2 linked regions of the Cricetulus griseus genome follow. The protein of the gene in region 1 purifies or fractionates together with the protein of each later gene. This does not show direct contact. Links are inferred from orthologs where the notes say so. Each region holds a gene or a part of one and is shown on either strand. Other genes may lie near its edges. The genes, in order: Dnaja1 and Endog.

The links.
Region 2: the proteins of Dnaja1 (region 1) and Endog purify together in Homo sapiens (affinity purification with mass spectrometry; 3 studies listed by BioGRID and IntAct, counting the BioPlex papers as one, with this or other methods). This does not show direct contact. The link is inferred for Cricetulus griseus from reciprocal best matches to the Homo sapiens genes DNAJA1 and ENDOG.

The regions. Positions count from the first base shown.
Region 1 is NC_048595.1:101,872,998-101,883,456, reverse strand, and holds the start of Dnaja1 (dnaJ homolog subfamily A member 1), read left to right. Parts: upstream 1-4,543; 5' UTR 4,544-4,681; intron 4,682-5,050; exon of another isoform or gene 5,051-5,066; intron 5,067-5,755; 5' UTR 5,756-5,765; coding exon 5,766-5,897; intron 5,898-6,027; coding exon 6,028-6,205; intron 6,206-8,076; coding exon 8,077-8,181; intron 8,182-9,771; coding exon 9,772-9,999; intron 10,000-10,459.
Region 2 is NC_048599.1:141,825,558-141,835,939, reverse strand, and holds Endog (endonuclease G, mitochondrial), read right to left. Parts: upstream 5,102-10,382; 5' UTR 4,966-5,101; coding exon 4,474-4,965; intron 3,784-4,473; coding exon 3,674-3,783; intron 3,252-3,673; exon of another isoform or gene 3,042-3,251; coding exon 2,759-3,041; 3' UTR 2,696-2,758; downstream 1-2,695. Other genes in the region: putative methyltransferase C9orf114 homolog, read left to right, coding at 658-730, 832-930, 1,423-1,525, 1,646-1,793, 2,567-2,626. UniProt on the Homo sapiens protein: Endonuclease that preferentially catalyzes the cleavage of double-stranded 5-hydroxymethylcytosine (5hmC)-modified DNA.

The sequences.
Region 1 (10,459 bases):
TTATATTAGGGATGGTAGATGATTATGTTGTATTGCAATTTTGCTTATTGTTAGCTGTTTACATAGTGTCTACATCTATTTATGCTTTTTGACCATATAAAGATTTTGGTTAAGCCGGGCGTTGGTGGTGCACACCTTTGATCCCAGCACTCGGAAGGCAGAAGCAGGCGGATCTCTGTGAGTTCAAGGCCAGCCTGGTCTCTAGAGAGAGTGCCAGATAGGCTCCAAAGCTACACAGAGAAACCCTGTCTCGAAAAACCAAAAAAAAAAAAAAGGTTAAAAATAAGGGCCATATTTCAATGGAGTACACTGTAATTCTCAGTAACCATGTGGACCAGATCATAAGTAGCTGGAGGTGGTTGTGGGCAGAAACCAAGTAGTAATGATTCATGCTCTATGCTAAGAAATGTGAATTTTATTTCAGAAGTTCTGGATGGTTTTAGGATTCTAACAGTTTATCTTTTTATGTGATGGTGCTAGTGTTAGGGTTCAAATTTGGGATTTCAGGTCTGCTAGGTGAGCACTCTACTCCTGAACCACACCCTGAACTGATAACTTATCCCATGTATAAACTGTTACATAAAAAAAAGGGGTAGTGTTGAAGGTACAGCTCAGTGGCAGCAGAACAGAATGTGCCAAGCAAGCACAGTGCAGAATATCTAGCAGAATAAGGACAAGAAAGGGGATGGAGCAGGGAGGGTAGGAGGATGAGAAGGAAGGACGATAAAGGTCGTGGAAGCAATGCCAGAGGAGGGAGGATTCTCTATGGCTCAGGACTAAAGGAGGTCATAGGTACACAGAAGTAACCTGGCTTGCTTTTTCTTTCCTTTAAAGACATAGTGTATGCTGGGTGTTGGTGGCACATGCCTTTAGTCCCAGCACTCAGGAGGCAGAGCCAGGTGGATCTCTGTGAGTTCAAGGCCAGCCTGGTCTACAGAGTGAGCTCCAGAACAGCCAGGGCTATACAGAGAAACCCTGCCCCCCCCCAAAAAAAAAACCAACTGTATTTTTGATGCCATGTTGCCCAGGCTGTCTTCAAATTCCTGGGCTTCAGTAATAACCCTGCCATAACTTTCAGAGTAGTTAGGACTATAGGTACACACTCTTGCCACCACACCTGGCAGCATTTAAAAAAAATCAAAGACAACACCTGAAGATGTGAGGGAGTGAAAGGATGGAAAGTGAGCACACACTTTTTCTAAATTGTAAAGTAGTTTTCTATGAGTCCTTAACCTTGTTCTTGAAGTCCTCTGTGTGAAATTGTTAAGGAGACATTTTTACTTACTAAGATTCTTAAGGAGGAAGACCAAGAAGGCCACAAGACAGACCACCTTCCTAAACTAATGCCTATGCCAAAGAGTCGGAACTGGGCATGTCCAAGGCCTTACTACATTTCTACCCAAATCACACCCTACAACTTACCCAGTGCTCATCTGAGATGATGGGAACATACATAATATACTTATCTGCCCTCAGGATCGCTGAACCCCAGTTTGGGGTGGCTGAGGAACCTGTGAACACTGCCTGGAGAAGGCTCTCTCTCCTGTTCCTGAGCCCTCCCCAGAAAAAAAGACAAGAAGCTAGACATGATTCCAAACTAGGTGGAAGGAGGAAGATTGGGAGTTCAAAGTCATCACACCAAATTCAAGATTGAGGTGAACCTGGAATACACAAGGCCCTGTCCCCCGGGAGAGAGAGGGAGAGAGAGAGAGAGAGAGACAGACAGACAGACAGACAGACAGACAGACAGAGACAGAGGGAGGGTGGGTGGGTGGGTGGAGAGAGAAACAAGAAGACAGGGTAGGGGTGCCAAATTCAAAGTCCACGCTGCTTGAAAACACTACAGACAAATGTCTCAGCAAATACTCTCTCACCCCATCTGCACACAGGCAGTTACACTACCTACCAAGCCAGACTTGAAGGCTGAGGGTATTCTGTAAGGCAGAATGGATTAAGAATACAGCTGTACCAGGTGGTGGTGGCGCACAACTTTAATCCCAGTACTCAGGAGGCAGAGGCAGGTACATCTCTGTGAGTTCAAGGCCAGCCTGGTCTACAGAGCAAGTTCCAGGGCAGCTTCCAAAAGCTACAGAGAAACCCTGTCTTGAAAAAAAAGTACAGGAGACTGAACACAAGGGTCAGGTGTGGTGGCTCACACCTGTAATTCTAGCATTTGGTAGGCTGAAGCAGGAGTTCCTTAAATTCAAGGCCAGCAGGACCCCCAGAGTAAGGCAGAAGTGCAGGATTTATTTTTTATTTTGTTATTTTATGTGTATGTGTGCTTTGTATGTCTGTGCAAAAGAAGAAACTTCAAATTAAAGCAATAACATTAATTTCTCACATATACCCCCAGATACAGTCTCAAATATCCCAAGTAGCCTCAAACTTTCTATATAGCCTTAGTTGGTCTTGAACTCCTGATCTTCCTCCTTGAGCCTCCAAAATTCTGGGCTTATAGGTAGAAACCAAGCCATTTGATTGTAAATTTTCACTTGTAAAGCTGGCAAAGATTTAATAGCAAGAGAGCAAAACAGAATCCCCTATATTTGCAAGACCCACTGGCACAATGGTGGAAGCAGTACAAACCAACATAAAGTTATTTTAATTTTCAATTTGCTCTTACATTGACTCAGCAATTTCAGCTCTGGGTGTCTGTCCTAAAGAAATATTTGCAAGCCAAGTGTGGTGGCATGCACAGGCCTATAATTCCAGCTCTTTTTCAGGCTGGCAGGAGGAGTACTGCTCTAAAGTATAACCTATTACTTGATATGATACCTGAGAGTGTAACACATGAGAAAAATAATGTTTTTCAGCCAAAACAAAACACATAGTAAAAGTCTGCAAGGGAAGTAGTGTAGCTTTAGTGCCTGAAATAGTTTAATGAAAGCATTAAGGCTGAAGAGGCAAACCGCACAAGGCTGGCACTCCAAAACCTTAGCTTATTAAGACATACCAAGAGGTAAAGAAGTCTCCAGATAGGTTTGAAAACAGCCTTTACAGCTCCCTTAGCTCTGGCTACATCCAATTACCTATGATTTCCTTAAGACACTGAGATGACAGCTCTGCTGGTAAAGCACGGAAGACCTGAGTTACCTATGGAAAAGTAGGAGAAAGCTGCAATGCTCCACGTGCACACACACAATAAGGCGAACATTTAAAGCATCACATTCCACACACCTAGGCTTCCAGTGCTTTCTTTGTCCGTTAGGAAATGTGCTCAACTGCGTTTTGTACAAGTGCTGAGCTACATTTTGTGACTTCTCTTGTAATTTGCTTTGTTCAACATCCAACAAAATTCTAAGCAGGAGGCTCAGTGGTGTGGTTAAGAGCATGTATTAGTCTTCACAACTGCCTGGAGGCTGAGAAGTTCAGAGTTTGAGGCCAGCTTTGGCTACAGAGAGTACTAGGCTACCCTGGTCTATAATGTGGCAAGACCCTTTCTGAAAAAACAAAGCCAAGGAGGGTAGAGAGAGATGGCTTATCAGTTAAAAGCACCAGGTGGCTCACAACAGCCTGTAATTCCAATTACCTGGGATCCCACTCCCTATCCTGACCTCCAGGGGCACTAGGCATGCATGTGGTGCACATACACACATATAAACCAAACACTCATACACATACAGTAAATATAAAAATAAAAAATCCAAACAAAATATACGAGTCTCTGTATAAAAGTAACCTGAACAGACTCCATGCCTCTGACTTCCTTGGGCACCTACACAGACACACAAGATTGAAAGTAAATCTTTATAAAATATGTCAACTCTACTTTCCCAAGCTTGCACCTCCAGCTGCTTTGTTTGATACGTCTACTGGGTTACTGAATAAGAAAAAAACACTCCATTTTTTCATTCTGTCCTTTGAAGGCCTAAGGTTCACTTTGCCAACTGCAGATTTTGATTCGCTGACTAGACCTAAAGATGGTCAGAAAATTAAAACAATTAGCTAAAGAAATTTTCTTTTTTGTTGCTACTCTGCAGTCAAACGTAGTGGGAGATTGACTAGAAAAGAATCCACTGCCCTCAATTTACATAAAGCATTCCCTGTTTGCTGCAGCCCCAGGTTCCCTCGGCCTGAGGCATTGGAGACTTAAGGATTTGAAGCCTGGGCTCGCCCAGAAAGCTCTCACACGGAAGTGCACTTGGGTGAAACCACCAGATTCAAAGCCTGCAAGGTTGGTCTGGCGACTAGGCCGGTCTGGCTCAGCATTTCTTGCCTGCAGGGCTCAGAAATAAGGGGCTGCAAAAAATTAGGCTCCGGGTGGGGTTAGGGTTGGGGTTGGGTTCCGGCAGGTCCCCTTCGGCGAAGCGCCTGCGGCATACATAACCTCTGCACTTCAAGACTTCCGCACTCTGGGCCCTCACAGTAAAGAAAGGCCTCTAGAAGATTCCACGAGTCTCGGAACCCGGGCCTGAGTCCACCCCCACAAGGCCCTTGGGCACGGCCACTCCCAACCCCAGCGCCCCCGCGCCGTTGCCCAGGTAACCGAGGGGCGGCGGCAGCGGCGTGGGGCGGGACTTCCGGCGAGTGACGCGCCCGGGCTCGGCTACAAAAGAGGTCGGCTGCGGCGGGCCGGGCGGAACTTTCCAGAACGCTCCGTGGGAGGTGGAGGAGCAGCGTCTGCCCCAACTGCGTTGTGCTACGCTCCTCTTTCCGCTCTCCGGCACCGGCCCGCTCACCGGTGAGTCTCGGCCCTCGGGCCTTCCTCGGCCGCGACGTGCGGCCTGGGCGCCAGATAGCCGAGGGGAGCCGCAGCCGGAGGCGGTTGGCCCCGCGTGGGCAGGGGCTGCGGGCTCCCTGAGCCGGAATCCGGCTTCGGAAGGCCGCCGGGATGCCCGGCGCCCTCCCCGACCGTCTGTACGCCGCGAGGAGGCCCAAGGCCCGAGCCAACTCGGCGCCCGCCTCAGACTCCTGTCGGTGCGCACCCCTTTCTCCCCGCCGCCCGCGCCGGGTGGGCAGCGCTGCGCACGCGCGGACCGAGGCAGGGGTGAGGGGCTGCGGGAGGAGCCGGGCGGAGGCTGCGGCTTGTGCTTCTTCTCCTGGCTCTCCTCCCTCTCTTTGTTGAGGTCCGGCCTTCCCCCTCCGCCTTTTCGATCCGGGTGGGAGGGAGAAAGGAAGGAAACCTTAACTGTAGGCGCCAGGTGCTGGGGGGAAATCCAGAGGGCGAGTCAGCTTGGCGGGCCTGAGGGACGAGAGTGGGTAAGCGGCGAGCAGGATCAGGATGGCGACGGGGCCGGGGGCACCTGCTCCCCGGAGCTGGTCTCATAAGCCACTCCTCCACCCCCGGGAGTCCACTGTCCTTTTCCGGCGAGTGAGGGCCTTTATCAGATGTACAAAGGCAGTGCTAATGTACTAACCAATGGACAGAACCTACCAGTGCTGCTTTGGGTTACTAGCACAACCTGTGGGGAAAGGAAACCGGAAGGAGCCCCATCACACATGTGTTAGTGCGGCAGAGTAGGAACCAGCTGCTAGAAAGGCTTTCGAGTTCCCCGCAATTTACGTTTATATTTAGTCTGTTAGAATTTTCAGCCAGATCATATCAGGAATTGATAGCTTTAAAGTTAGCGAAGGCAGTGTTCTTTATACGGCAAAGAACAGATTGCTCTAGTTCTGGTAGTTTGCTAAAAACTACCAATTAAAAGCCGGTCATGGTGGCTCACACCTTGAACCCGGCTCTCAGGAGGCAGAGGCAGGTGGCGCTTCTGCACAGCACTAAAAGCTGGTTTAAAGCTCCCCGTTTTTCTGATTTCAGGCTGTGAAAGATGGTGAAAGAAACCACTTACTATGATGTTTTGGGGGTCAAACCCAATGCCACCCAGGAAGAACTGAAGAAGGCATATAGAAAATTAGCCTTGAAGTACCACCCTGATAAGAATCCAAATGAAGGAGAAAAGGCAAGTACATTCTCGAACAGTTCAGCAGTGTTGCCATGTGTGTACTGCTGGTGCCCGAAAGTCAAGGTTGTAATACAGTGGCTGTGCCGTGTGACAGTTATTTCTAATGGGATTTCTTTTTCTGAAACAGTTTAAACAGATTTCTCAAGCTTATGAAGTTCTTGCTGATTCCAAAAAAAGGGAATTATATGATAAAGGAGGAGAACAGGCCATTAAAGAGGGCGGAGCAGGTGGTGGTTTTGGCTCACCCATGGATATCTTTGACATGTTCTTTGGAGGAGGAGGGAGGATGCAAAGAGAACGGAGAGGTAAGAAAAAGTACAGCTTACCTGCAGCAGAATGAAATGGCTGCTACTGAAAAACTGAATTTACTACCTTCAGTGCTTGTTTACATATTGGTATGATGCCTCTGATTTCTGGTGTCATTTAAAATTGAGATTTTTAAAAAAGAAATTTAGATAGTTGAGATTTTTATGTAATCAAAATAGCTAAGCCAATCTAGTGGGTATCTCCCATCCACAGATACCCAAACAGTAAGATAACAGCATGGCAACCTGGGCTTCTAAGCCCTTACACATCATGCCCCTAGAACAAACACAAATGGTTAAGTGTAATGGCCTTTATCAGTTAAAGAAGAGTTGAGAAAACTGAAACATAGCAAGCCAAGACTGAAAACAGCTCATTGCCTCCAGATAACCTGCTGCCTGTTTAATCTTACTTTAGCTTGCTAACTCAGTTTATATGCATTTAATGTTTTAACAAAAAAGTTGTCTCTGAGCTAGACAGACTTCTTGGGAAGATAGCATTGGAGGTCAATAGTACTTCATTTTTGTTTACTGTGTTTTTACAAGAATTTACTGGAAATGAATGTTGTGGCCCTGAAAAGTGGCTCAGTGGTTAAGAATACTGTACTCTTTGCAGAAGATCCAGATTTCAGTGCATGGCTCACTACTGCCTGTAACTCCCGCTCAAGAGGATCTGATAACCTCTTCTGACCTCTGGGCTTTCATACAAACATGTATGCACAAAAATTAAAATTAAAAAAAATCTGTTGTGAACCATAAGGATAGTATGAGCTACTAACTTTTGGCTTATTTTAATATGAGGGTTTTTGTTGCTGCTGCTTTGGAAAGTATACTTGGTCAGTTTCCAGAAGCTTTGTTTTTCCTTTTCTGTACTCTGTATACAAAGTTAAGAAATGGGCAACTTTCAACTTGGAAGAACCTGCTTACATGTTCTTTTTGTGATAGTAGAAATCTAAAGTAAAGCTAGAAACAAAAGGATATGATACTTAACATCTCACTTAAAAGAGTAAATGTTCCTTTAGGTATGATGGTCAGAAAGGATTGAAACTGTTGTTAGCCACCAGGCAGTGCCATTTGGTGATGGATAAAGTCCTAGTGGAAGGATCACTGGCTAGGAACTTATTAACCATAGAGGGTAATTTTATTTCCATAGCCTGATTATCCTTGTGTGATCTCAACCTCCTCCTCCTATTGCCATAGGTAAATTAATTACATGTGGCATTCCTTTGTAGTCACTAGCCAGATGTGAGTCTTTAAATTAAGATTAACTTAAGGGAGGGAGGGTGGATATTCTCTCCAGCTGTGGTAGTCACCACACTTAAATTGTGACTAGTAGTTGCTATATTGAACACATGATACGCCCATCATTAAAGTTTTCTGTTCTATTACAAAAAGCATAAGAAATTTGTCATTTGAAACAACCAGTTCTAGCCTGGCAGTAAACTATTGAAACAGAAGTAGGAATTGTTTCAGTAGTGTCTCAATATTGGCTTCTCTAGCCAATCTTGATTAGAAAGAATGTACTGTTTGGATGAAGTAACTGGCCATGTTGCTTAATGCTTAGTAAGTGAAACCTCTAAAGGGATACATGCTTTGAATTGTTGTGAAATGTGCCTGAACATTGAGTGACTTTTAGTCGCTGCATTTCTAAGAGGGGGCCTCTTTTGTGTCGTTAGGCAAATGAACCCCTGATGTAATTCACTTTAACTGTGATTAAATCAGTTTGAGAATCAAGTTATTGGATGAATGTTGTATATGGGTATAGCTCAACAGGTGTATAGTATAAGACTGGTCTTTGATTATCCTTTTCCATTTCTATGGTGCCTTCAGCAAACATTACACATGGGTTTTTAATGAGCAGTGTTTTGTTCCAGGTAAAAATGTTGTGCATCAGCTCTCAGTGACCTTAGAAGACTTGTATAATGGCGCAACAAGAAAATTAGCTCTGCAAAAGAATGTGATTTGTGACAAATGTGAAGGTAAGGGTTCTTACTTACTGTTGGGTTGTTATAGTTTTTGAGATAAGGTCTTTATAGATTAGGCTGGCCTTGGATTTGTGTCCTGCCTCAACCTGGGGATTACTACAAGCCCTTATGCCTAATTTTCTGGATAGACAAAACTGATGCTACACTAAAAGGAGCTGAGTGAACCTTCCAAGAAAACTCGTAATGGCTTTGTTGTGACGTTTTCATGCATGTATATAATGTATTTTCATCATTGCTCTCCTGCTCAACTTCCACTAAAACCCTTCTGTTCCTTGATACTCCTGTGTGCCTATGTTTTGAGTCCCATTAGAGTTGTTTACAGGAATATGGGTGAGGGATTGCTTACAAAAGGATGGGCACCTTATTCAGTAGCTATATTACAGAAGAAAATGTGTATGCAGGGGTGAGGCCTTGACAATAGCTTCTCCCTTTATTACAAGGTGCTGATGGGCCTAATCTGTATAGGCCCTAAGTAGCAATTTTTTTTTAATACTTTGTATTTGCATATGCATGTTTCGGTGTCTGGGAGGTCAGAAGACAACTTGTAGTAACCAGTTTTCTTCAACCAGGCATTAAAAGATCAAACTCTGGGGTTGGTCAAGCTTAGTGAGACCAGCAAAACCTTCTCTCAAGGTGGAAATGTGCTATCGGAACATTAAGATGGTGGTGCAGGCAGTCTTGGAGTTTACTGCCTGGCTCACTACTCACTCAGAAAGTAAAATACCGCAGGTGCTTGCAGAGGTCTTCACTGTTAGGCCTGCCTACTTTGAACTCTAACTGCAAAGGCAGGACACCCCACTCCCCACCTCTCTACCACCCCACGGGAGTTTTGCCTGTCTGAGTGTTTATCTCTTGTACTGCTTTATGCAGTACCTATGGAAGCCAAAAGAAGGCATCATATCCCCTGGAACTAGAGTTAAAGAGGGTTGTGAGCCACTACGTGGGTGCTTGGGATCAAATCCAGGTCATCTGGAAGAACAGCCAGTGCTCTTAAGTGAGTCATCTCACTAGGCCCTGCCTTCCCTTCTTCCCACCCCTTTGTTTCTACCAAAATCCTAAGAATACATACTATTGACACTTAGCTGTGTGGTGGTGGCTTCGCATGCCTTTACACTCGGGAGGCAGAGGCAGGAGGATCTCTAAGTTTGAGACCGGCCTGGTCTACAAGAGCTAGTTCCAGGACAGCTTCCAAAGAAAGCCACAGAGAAACCCTGTCTCGAAAAAACAACAACAAAAAACAGACTATTGACACTCTTAGGCATTCTCATGTCTAAAAAATGTCATTTCTTCACACATACACCCCTTACTAACACACAGTTGCTTGCTGACCTCCATTGTTGAACCATTTCTAAACTAACTCAAAAGGGAAGATTTTCCACCATCCTCTTTGAAACTGCTGAGATTTATAGCATGCGTGCCTACCTTGTTTGTTTCTGTTTAAAAACTCATGATTTTGAAATGGCTCCTGAATCTATTTAGGACAGCAGTACATAAGCCCTTGAAAATCCTAAGGAGTTTAGATTCTATTACAAAGTTAATACACAAAGTTTTGTTTTTTTGTTTTTGTTTTTTTAAACTCTTTAGGCCGAGGTGGTAAGAAAGGAGCAGTTGAGTGCTGTCCCAACTGTCGGGGGACCGGCATGCAAATCAGGATTCATCAGATCGGACCAGGAATGGTTCAGCAAATTCAGTCAGTGTGCATGGAATGCCAGGGTCATGGAGAACGCATCAGTCCTAAAGACAGATGTAAAAGTTGCAATGGAAGAAAGATAGTTCGAGAGAAGAAGATTTTAGAAGTTCATATTGATAAAGGTGAGTTCTGATCCACTCTATAGTCTGAATCGTGTTTTTTATTCATAGTGTATAACGTAGTTTGGTAATTTTCACTCCATCCCTCATTGTTTTCTGTAGCACTTGCCATTCTCATCATTTTGTGGTAGGGTTGTTTGTGATACATTTAGTTTAATTAGTAGTGCTTGTGTGAGCATGGGGGGGGGTTATTTACTGGAACATGGGCATTTATCGGTGGCTACACTAACAAAGAAAGGGACTCCCCTCCAGTAAACATCAACTGCCAACAGTTCTTCTAGACGTTGTGTGGCCTTGGCCCTTCCCACATTTATATTACATACTCTTAGTGTGTAAGATTTGTCTTTCTGGCTCAGTGGCAATAGTTACAGAACATTTTATCCAGTCTTCTGATATGTAATTATCCTGTCTTTAAAAATTTATACTGTGCACATTCTTAGGAATTAAGGAATAACATAAATGG
Region 2 (10,382 bases), on another chromosome or scaffold:
AGGAGTAAGTGTGAGGTCAGAGAACAACTTGACAAGTGTCAGTTTTCTCCTCCCACTGAGTGGGGATTGAACTCTGGTCATCAGGCTTGGAGACAAATGCCTTTTCCTGGTGAGCCATCTTGCGGATCCAAGAGTAGCTCTTGTTTATAATGTCTTTTATTCAACAGATGAGGAGACTGAGGCACATGGGTGCTAACTGACCTCCTCAAACTCCTACAGCCAGCAAGTGGCAAAGCCACCATAAGGAAGAAATCTGTGACTTCATCCTTTTTTTTAACATTTATTTATTATATATAGTATACAGTGTTCTGTCTGCATGTATGCCTGCAGGCCAGAAGAGGGCACCAGATCTCATTGCTGGAAATTGAACTCAGGACCTCCATAAGCGCAAACAGGGCTCTTAACCCCTGAACATGGCTCTAGCCCGAGACCTCATCTCTTTGTAGACACTGACTCTCCATGTCCTAAGCCCCAGGCTTCCATTTCTGACCAATTCCCTGTGATAATTGTTCTTCGTGATGGTCCCTCTTAGTAGGTCCCACCCAGTGCCAGAAACAGGGTGGCAGGTTGACCTGGCACCATAGTTCCTCCACTGGGTCTCTGAGAGCGCTGGCCCCTTTTGAAGTGTGGCACTCATTGCCTCTGGCTTCTCTGCAGGAGGTGAAGATTGACAAGAAACTGGAACCTGGACTTCGAGTGACCGTGCGACTGAACCAGAAGCAGCTCCCAGGTATCTGGAAGCTTCCTTGGCCCTTACAGTTGCTTGGCTCAGAGCCTCCTCCTACCTACCTCCCTGTCTCCTTGGTCTTCATAGCCTGTTTTGCTCCCCAGAATGCAAGACATACAAGGGGACAGTTGTGTCATCGCAGGACCCCCGCACCAAAGCTGGTCTCTACTGGGGCTACACTGTTCGACTGGCCTCCTGTCTCAGTAAGGACAGAAGTTGCTTCCCTGAATGTCCCTCTGTCCCTTCTGTTATACCCACAAGTCCGAGCAGGGTCTCTGTTCTACTAGAGGGTATGTGTTTAGGTGGCACCATCTCTGGTGCCCTAGTCTCCCCAGCGTCTATTCGGAATGCTAAGAACATCTGAGAGCAGGGTGTGGTTGGCTCCCAGCTGCCATCCCAGCACTAGGAGGCCAACACAGGAATCTCACTGTAAACCTGAGACCTCTCGAACACCAAATTAGGAAAGCCTTCTGAAGCGAGTGTAACTGCTGAACGTTGTCTAGGGCTTGGGCGCTCTTCCTGCCTAGCCTGTGTGCTCCCAGGCCAAGCTCAGGCTTCAGCTCCACCATTCCCTGCCCTCAACTTTCCAAGAACGTATATGGCCTCCTTTACCTGAGCTCTCTCTCCACCTGACCTTACAGTATGTTAGGCACACAGCCAAGAGCAGAACCCCACTGAGCTAGCTCCACCCCCAGGTGCTGTGTTTGCTGAGGCTCCCTTCCAGGATGGGTATGACCTGACCATTGGGACATCAGAGCGAGGCTCCAACGTGGCCTCTGCCCAGCTGCCCAGCTTCAGGTGGGTGTTGCTTAAGCCAGCGACTGGATCCTACTGTACATGGGGGTTGGGAGCCTAAAACTCTGAGGACTATATCCCATCGAGCTTTGACGTCAGTGACTCCCTTTCTCTGGGTACCAGGCATGCTCTTGTGGTGTTCGGGGGCCTCCAAGGGCTGGAAGCTGGAGTGGATGCTGATCCCAACCTTGAAGTGTCGGAACCCAGTGTCCTGTTCGACTTTTATGTCAACACATGCCCCAGCCAGGGCAGCCGTACCATCCGCACTGAGGTGAGCCACAGCCACAGGCACCCAGTTCTTCTTGTAACCCACCCTAAGTGCCTTTTCTGAAGATGTACTTATGTATTTCATATACATGGATGTTTTGTCTGCATGTACTTCGTATCAGAAGAGAGCATCAGATCCCATGAGACTACAGGTATAGACAGTTATGAAGCATTATGTGGTTGCTGGGAAATGAACACAGGACCTCTGGGAAAGCAGTCAGTGCTCTTAACCACTGAGCCATCTCTACAGCCTCAGCCTAAATGTCGTTTCTACAGATGGGGTCTTTACCATAGCAAACTAGTGGCAGGGACAAGATAAAAGAGCCATAAAGATGGCAAGTCCTGGGCCAGTAGTATTCTTATGTTCCCAGGTTGAGGGGCCCAGGTAACCTGCCTATCCCTATTCAGGGCCTCAGCTTCCCTGGTGGTACCCTAAGTCCCTCTGGGTGTCAACATTTCTGTGCTGGGGGAAAGGGTCTCACAAGACTGGAGCATCCATGGCACCTGTGTGACCGTCTTTGGGGCCAGTATGGAATGCTGTCTCTATGGGTTCTATAAGGGTGGTGACTGGAGGTTGACAGCCCCAGTCTGCCTGTCCCTGAGGCCCTGCCCATGTCATTGCCGCTAAACCAGCTGAAAAGAACTGCCCATCATCTTATCCTTCCTGGCTCTTGAGGTAGGCCCCACATGGGGCTGGGTCTTGGGAGCTGGCTGTGAAGACAAGGACCTGGGACCACTGCCTAACTACCAGATCCCAGCCAACTTCTTTTCTTCCAGGAAGCCATACTCATCTCCCTGGCTGCCCTACAACCTGGCCTCACCCAGGCAGGTTCCTGAACTACCTGACAACTTTGTGGATCCAGGGAGACAGAGACTTACCAGAAATAGAGATGGTCAAGACTTGTCTCCAAAAATAACCACCTTTAATATGAGCCAGCCCCTTCTCCCAGTGTCTTCAGTCCTTCACCCTCACTTGCTGCCAGCAGTGATGGCCTTGAGGTTTCCAGCTCGAGCCAGGATATTGGGCACAAAGAGCAACCCAGAGGCACGCTCAATGCTCTCGATCGGCACCAGGAAGCGCTCCAAAGGGATAGTCTCATCCACAGGGGCATTGGGCATCACATAGGAACGCAGCTCAATTTGCCCACTGGTGGCCTCCAGGATGAGCACCTTGAAGAAGTGTGTGGGCACTGCTACGTGGTTTTTTCCAATAACCTGGTACTTCACATAGGACTTCCCATCAGCCTCCGTCCTGAGGATAGACCAGGCACACATGGCCACCTCTTCCAGGAAGCCTTCCCTGACCTGACCAACAAGAAATTGAAGTGCCAAGCCTGGTTGCCTCCTTGGGTCTGGGAACTCTGTAAGGTGGGGACCAACGCTTAGCCCTCTGCTTTTCTGCCCAATACTGGTTCAGCCAGAATGGGTAGCAATAAATGCTGCTAGAGGAATGAGCTCTGTACACCATGTAGACATGTGACTGTCCCTATAGGCAGTGCAAGCAGCAATCAAGGAGGTGCGAGCCATGACAGTGGGAATCCCAGTCCCAGCCCAGGGCCTGGTGTTCAGCAGGATGAGCAGTAGCTTCCAGTTTGCTCAGCAACTGCCTTGCCCAGCCTGTGCTGATCACAAGGCTTTCTGATGTTCAGAGGAGCTTAGCTTGCCTGTCTGGCAGGACTGAAAAACTGATCTTGGGAAAGAATGCTTCAAGCACAGCAAAGGTGTGAGCTTGGTGCCCCAACATGGGTTATGGAGGGGTGACAAGATGTGTCAAAAGATTTGGGGCCTAGAAACTGGGCACAGGAGATTTCTGGGCCACCCAAAGATCTCTGGCTACATCGAAGCAGGAAGTCCAACATTGGAGAATAGGGGTGGGAGGCTTACCTGGGCAGGAAAAGAGGCCCTGTGCAGACATAGACATTTTGGTAAGTGCGAGTCAAGCTTCGGCTGTACTTCTCAAGGTTGTTCCAGGCATTCTGGTTGAGATGTGGCACCTGGTGGGAGAAGCAAGGTTCAGGACCTTCTGTTAGGAGTGCCCAGGTCCTAAGGAGATGACCAAGCATGTGGAGGGCAAAGGCTCAAAGAAGGGGTCACTCCTTGAGGCACTGTGACTACAGGGGTTGAGCTTTGGTAGGGCTGACCACTACTAGCCACACCCCTTTCGTTCCTAGGCACTTCAGATCTCTACGTTTTCCCCAGCTCAGAGAACCAAAGAAAGAGGGAGCATTAATCATATAGAACTCTCCCTCGGCCTGCCAGGCCTCAGAATGAACCTGAAAAAGGGTGTGGTGGGGGAGAGGGTCAGCCCCATGCCCCTATCCATCTCCAGTCACTGGATGGATGTCCCAGGAACCCAGTTCCTGGGAGCAGGTGCAGTGCTAACAATGTGTTCAGGGTGATGTGACTGGCACAAGCAAATCCAACTTCGTGGCAGCTGTTTTGTTGGCAGCTGCTGCAGGCCAGCTGGATATACGGAGTAGGAAACCTCCTGAGTTCCCTCAGAAAACCACACTGGGCAGCTTACTGGCTGGCATTACTGCTACTCCGTGTAAGTTCAAACCCGCCTGACTACAAATAGGACAATTCCTTCCTGCAACGGGGGTGCACGTGTAAAGTCAGACCAAGGTGCTGCTGTCAAGCAGGTGACAGCAGCCCCTTGGCTACCCCTTGGGGACCATGGCTACCTGTGGGGCCACGTTGCTCAGGTAGAAGGTGTCGTCCATGGCCCGCTGGCTCCAGCGGTGGTTGGCGGCGGCGGCCAAGTGGCCGCGGTCAAAGCCGCTGCCGCGATAGTCCGCGTTAGTGGCACGGTGGTACGCATGCACAGAGTCGTCCTCTCGGAAGTCGCAGGCGCTGCGGTCGCCGTCGCCACGGAGCCTCTCCGGTCGCAGCTGCTCCAACACCCAGAGCGCACCGCGCGTGCGCGGGTCGTAGCTCAGCACGTAGGACTCGCGGCTCCGGAGCTGCGCGACGCCGGGCAGCCCGTACTTGGCCAGCTCGCCGGTACCGCCCGCCGGCCCTCCTGGCAGCGCGGGCGGCTCGGCCGCCACCACGGGCAACATTGGCACCCGGGCCAGCAGCCCCGTCGCTGTCCCGTCCCGTCGCCGCCAGTGCTCTGCCGCTGCACCCAGCCCCGCGCCCAGCGCCAGGGTCAGGCCGACCCGCAGCGCGCGCATGGCCTACAGCAGGACGAGCGCGGCCTGAGTGCGGGAAGTTGTCTTTGGACCCAGGTGCAGGAGCCTCCGGTGACCCCACGCGGGCGTCCGCAGGGCCTTCCGCTGCCCTTTGGAGACGCGGGCTGGGGCGTGACACCGCCCTACTCGCTTGCCATTGGTCACTGCCAAGTCTGGCTCCGCCTCATCTTGTGCGCCTCTGGAAACCTTGCCTCTTGCAGGGCGTGCAGCGCCGCCCTAGCGGCCGCGTATTTAACCCCCACAAAGTCCTGGGAAATCTAGGTACCTGGACAGGACAGAACCCCAGATCTGTCAGACCTCTGTCCACCCATAATTGCGCCACGAAATGATAAATATTCCTCTAGATTGCCTGGCAAAAGGTTTAGGCTGTAACTGCTGACAGCCGCCTGGAGCTGAAGCTTGCTAGTAAGGTTATAGAAAACTACTTGAAAAGCCTACACTAAAATCATTTAAGATCATTAGGGTCATACGTTTCTTTCTTTTTGGTTTTGGCTTTGGTTTTTTGAGACAGGATTATCTCTAACAGTCAAACAGCCCTGGCGCTCCTGGAACTCGAGCTGTAGTCCAAGCTGGCCTCGAACTCACAGAGAGCCACTTGCCTCTGCCTCCCAAGTGCTGAGCTCCTTTTAACCCTCTTAAAGAGCTGAGCCTGGGAAGCATGTTTTATAAGACAGTGTTTCCTGTCCATAGAAGCTGGAATACACAAAGCATTCAACACTAGGAGCTGGATAAGATTATTTGCTGCACATCAGATGGAACAGTATTTAAACTATGAATATTTTAGGAGAGCAACTTGCCTACCACCTAGTAAGGTGGAGGAACAAATAAGCAAATAGGGCTGAGAATGTACCATCAGAGCCTCACTCATTAGTAAGAGACAAAACCAAATTATTCATTAAAAGTTAAATTGGGAAATAGAGGATCAGCAGGTTTTGGAGGACAAGAGAGTACTGGAAGGAAATAATAAAAATTAGTAGCACATACAAATGAAAGTGTTACAATGGAACTCACTTTTTTGTTTGCTTGTTTTTTCAAGATAGGGCTTTTCTGTGTAGCCCTGGCTGTTGAAGAACTTGATCTGTAAACCAGGGTGGCCTTGAACTCGGAGATCTACCTGCCATCTCTGTGAATTCCAGGACAGCCTGATCTACAGAGTGAGTTTCCAGGGAAACCCTGTATCCCTGTATCCCTGTATCGAGAGAGAGAGAGAGAGAGAGAGAGAGAGAGAGAGAGAGAGAGAGAGAGAAAGAGAGAGAGAGGAGAGAGAAGACAGAGAGAGAGAGAACAGAGAGACAGAGACAGAGAGACAGCGAGAGAGACAGAGAGAGATCCACCTGCCCCTGCCTCCTGAGTACTGGGATTAAAGGTCACCACTGCCAGAAGAACTTTTATTTAAAAAATTAAAAAAGACAATGTGGTGTTGTGGGCTGGAAAAATGGTTCAGCAATTAAGAACTCATACTGGGGGCGGGAGGGAGCTAGAGAGATGGCTCAGTAGTTCAGAGCACTTGTTGGTCTTGCAATGGACCCAGGTTCAGTTCTCAGCACCCACATGGCTACACACAACCATCTGTAACTCCAAAGAATCTCCACACACACCAGATATACATGGTCCACAGACATACATGCAGGCAAAACACCTATACAGACAACATAATTTTGTTCTTTAAAGAGCATATACTGCTCTTGCAGAGAACCCAAGTTCAATTACAGGCAACCATGACCTCCCATAACTTCAGTGATAGGGGATCTAATGCCTTCTGGACTGTGCAGGCACCTGAGTTCATACATGGGTGTTCCCACATACAGACATGCACATACATATAAAGTAAAAATAACAGTTAAGTCTATGGTGAGACATTCAGCTCAGTTGACCAAATGCTTGCCTAACATGCACAAAGCCTGGTTTGTGCAGCACTCCATAAACCAGATGTGATGGTGGAGGAAGACTGAAATTTCAAGGTCGTCCTCACCTACATAGAAAAGTTCAAGGCCAGACGGTGGTGGTGCACGCCTTTAATCTCAGTACTCAGGAGGCAGAGGCAGGCAGATCTCTGTGAGTTCTAGGCCAGCCTGGTCTCCAGAGCGAGTGCCAGGACAGGCTCCAAAGCTACACAGAGAAACCCTGTCTCGAAAAACCAAAAAAAAGAAAAAAGAAAAAAAAAAAAAGAAAAGTTGCACTAGACATCAGTATTTTTTCTATAGATTGTAGGCATAGGAAACATGTTTTTTTTTTTTTTTTCCTAATAGTAGTTTGGCATAGTGATTCCTATCTGTAATCTCAGTGCTAGGGAGGCTGCGGCATAATTACCATGGGCCTGAAGCCAGTCTGGGGTGACTGACTTACACATACACAAAAGCTGAGTAGTATTACATGTGTATCTATACCATTTATCCATCTATGGACGTTAGTTTTTTTGTTTTTTTGTTTGTTTGTTTTTGGCTCCTGTGAATGTTACCAATAAACACAAGAGCACTTTAGGGGCCATGTCCAACAAGTATCCCCCTGTCTTCTGATAGCTACAGTTCTGGGCTGGGATGAAGTTTGCAACCCATTTGAGAGTTGATATCTCTGCATGATTTAAAAGTCTCATTTCACTTTTCTGTGTGGAAAATCATTTCTCTTGGCACCTTTTACTGAGAACTGTCCTTTCTCCATCGAGTTCTTGGCTCCTTTGTCAATAGGCAATTGATTACAGGGGCTGGAGAGATAGCTCAGCAGTTAAGAGCACAGTCTGCTCTTGCAGAAGACCTAGGTTCAATTCCCAGTATCCACAAGGTGGCTCACAGCATCTGTAACTACAATCCCAAGGGCTCTGGTGCTTTCTTCTGGCCTCCATGGGCATTAGGCACACATATAGCAGGTAAGCACTCACACACATAAAATAAAATCTTTTTGCCAGCCAGTGTTGGTGCACACCTTTAATCCCAGCATTCAGGAGGCAGAGGCAGGTGGATCTTTGTGAGTTTGAGGCCAGCCTGGTCTACAAAGCAAATTTCAGGACTGCCGAGAAACAAGATTTTGAGAAACCGTGTCTCAAAAATCAAAAATGGCAACAAAAAAAATCTTAAAAAAAAATCAATTGACTGCAAGGCTTATGCCTGTTTTTAGGGTTTTGGGTCTATAAATTGATGTCATATTTTTTTCCCTTTTCTTTTTGGTTTTTCAAGACAGGATTTCTCCCTGTAGCAGCTCTGGCTAACCTGGAACTCTCTCCGTAGACGAGGCTGGTTTTGAACTCACAAAGATCTGCCTGCTTCTGCCTCCCAAGTACTGGGAATAAATGTGGGTTTCCTGTATTTCTGTCAGCATCAGGCTGCTTTGATTACCATAAACTAGTATTTTAAAGTAAGGTGGCCTCCTGCACTGTCCTTTTTGCTCACGATTATATCAGGTATTTGGTATCTTTTATGGTTCCTGGACACATTTTCAAACTGATGCTTTCATTTTTCTGTGAAAAATGTCATATCTGTGTGGGAGAGAGAGAGTGTGTGTGTGTGTGTGTATTAGGACCCATAGCCTCAGGCAAATACCACTGAGCTACATACACTTCCATGTCATAGCCATTTTGTTTCAGGTAGGGCCTCGTTATGTAGTTCTAGGAAGACTGGAACCCACTGCACAGACCAGGCTGTTCTCAAATTTGCCAGGATCCTCTTTGTGGAGTGCTGAGGTCACATGCACGTGCCACCACACTTGGCCACACTGGAGTTTTGATAGGGACTACATTTACTGAGCTGGGCTTGAGTTAGTGCACCAGGCTCCTGCACCCCCAGCTCACTTAACATTAAATTGCAGCGAGCTGGAACCCTTCCTCCCACCATCCCATAATCACTGAGGGGTGGCCTAAGCCACCTTCTTTTGTGAGCCACCATGTGGTTGCTGGGAATTGAACTCAGGACCTCTGGAAGAGCAGTCAGTGCTCTTAACCGCTGAGCCATCTCTCCAGCCCCTAAGCCACCTTCTTACCACACTCCCTGTCCTGGGCTTATTTAGCCGTGAGTTGCTTAAGTTGGAGAAGGAATATTATTTCCTCACCAGCTGGAAAAGGTTCATTCATTCAGCACCTAGAACCTATTTACTTGCAGTGTTCTGGGTACTGGGAATGGAGATGAGTTCTCCCAGCCCAGAAATGCAGAGTAAGTACCCTCTTGTTTCTTTGCACCTCCTTCATCTTCTTCCAAGGCTTCACAATGTTTGGTATTCTTGGGGCCGTGTCTGGCTCAGTGGTCCAGTGCTTGCTTGATGTGTGTGAGGGCCTGAGCCCTATGACCAGTACAAAAGTCCTCAGTACTTTCATCTCTTTCAGGTGTTGCAAGTAGCATTTTATTATTTTCAGTTAGTATATAGAAACACTCCTGATTTTTAGCCAGCTGTGCTGATACACACCTTTAATCCCAACACACTCAGGAGGCAGAGGCCCCAGCCTCAGAGGCTAAAAGTGGAGGAACAGAGTCTGAGGCTAGCCTGGACAACAGAGCAAAATCCTTGTCTCTAAAGAACAATTCACTGCCAGGGCAGGTGAGGTGGCTCAGTGGGTAAAGGCACAGCCACCACGCCTGATGGCCTGAGTTTGATTTCTGTGACCCATGGGATAGGAGGGAACAGACTGTAGCAAGACTTCTCAACCCACAGGACACACACAAATAAGTACACCTTAGACAGGGATAGCAACGTGATGTGTGCAGGCAAGCCCCTCTGTCCTATGCCCATCTGTCTCTTGCTGAACTGGAAGAGTCAGGCTCTTCTGGCATTTTCTGGTCTTTCTTAGACCAGACTGACTTTGTCCTTGCTCCAAAGTCTCAAGTCCAGCCATCAAAGTACCAACACTCAAAAAAAAGAGCATACGGTTTATTAAAGACAACTCATTAACAGCATTGACTCAGAGAACGGATGAGAACACAAAAGCCACTGCTGTTCCGACCCTCGGGTGACTTGCTGAGCTCCTGGAGGCCACTCCCAGGTGGAAGCTGCAGGTACTCAAGACTCTGGTTCTCCCTTAAGAGTCATCAAGGGCAACTCCTTTCCTCAGGCAGCACCCAATGGGAAAGGAGTCAACCTACTCAAGACAGTCTCCATGTCCTTGGCCTTCATCTCAAGGACCAAGTAGTGGGCACAGGCTACAGGTCTCCCACAGAAATAAATCAGACGCAGTGATTCCAGTAGCATGGTCCCAGGAAGGAAGAGGGTGGGAGAGAGGGATTGAGGGAAGGACAGGCAAGAGGGAATACATTAGGTGTCCCAGGCAGTATCTGCTGGCTTCCAGGCAATGAAGAGGTCAATGCTGGGGCTGAACTACGAGCTAACAAGTCCTAGACTGAGGTGTGGCCAGGATGGTGGGAGTGTATGTGTCCTGTATCTTTGAGTACAGCAAATGCACCAGCTCTGGCCTTTCTTAT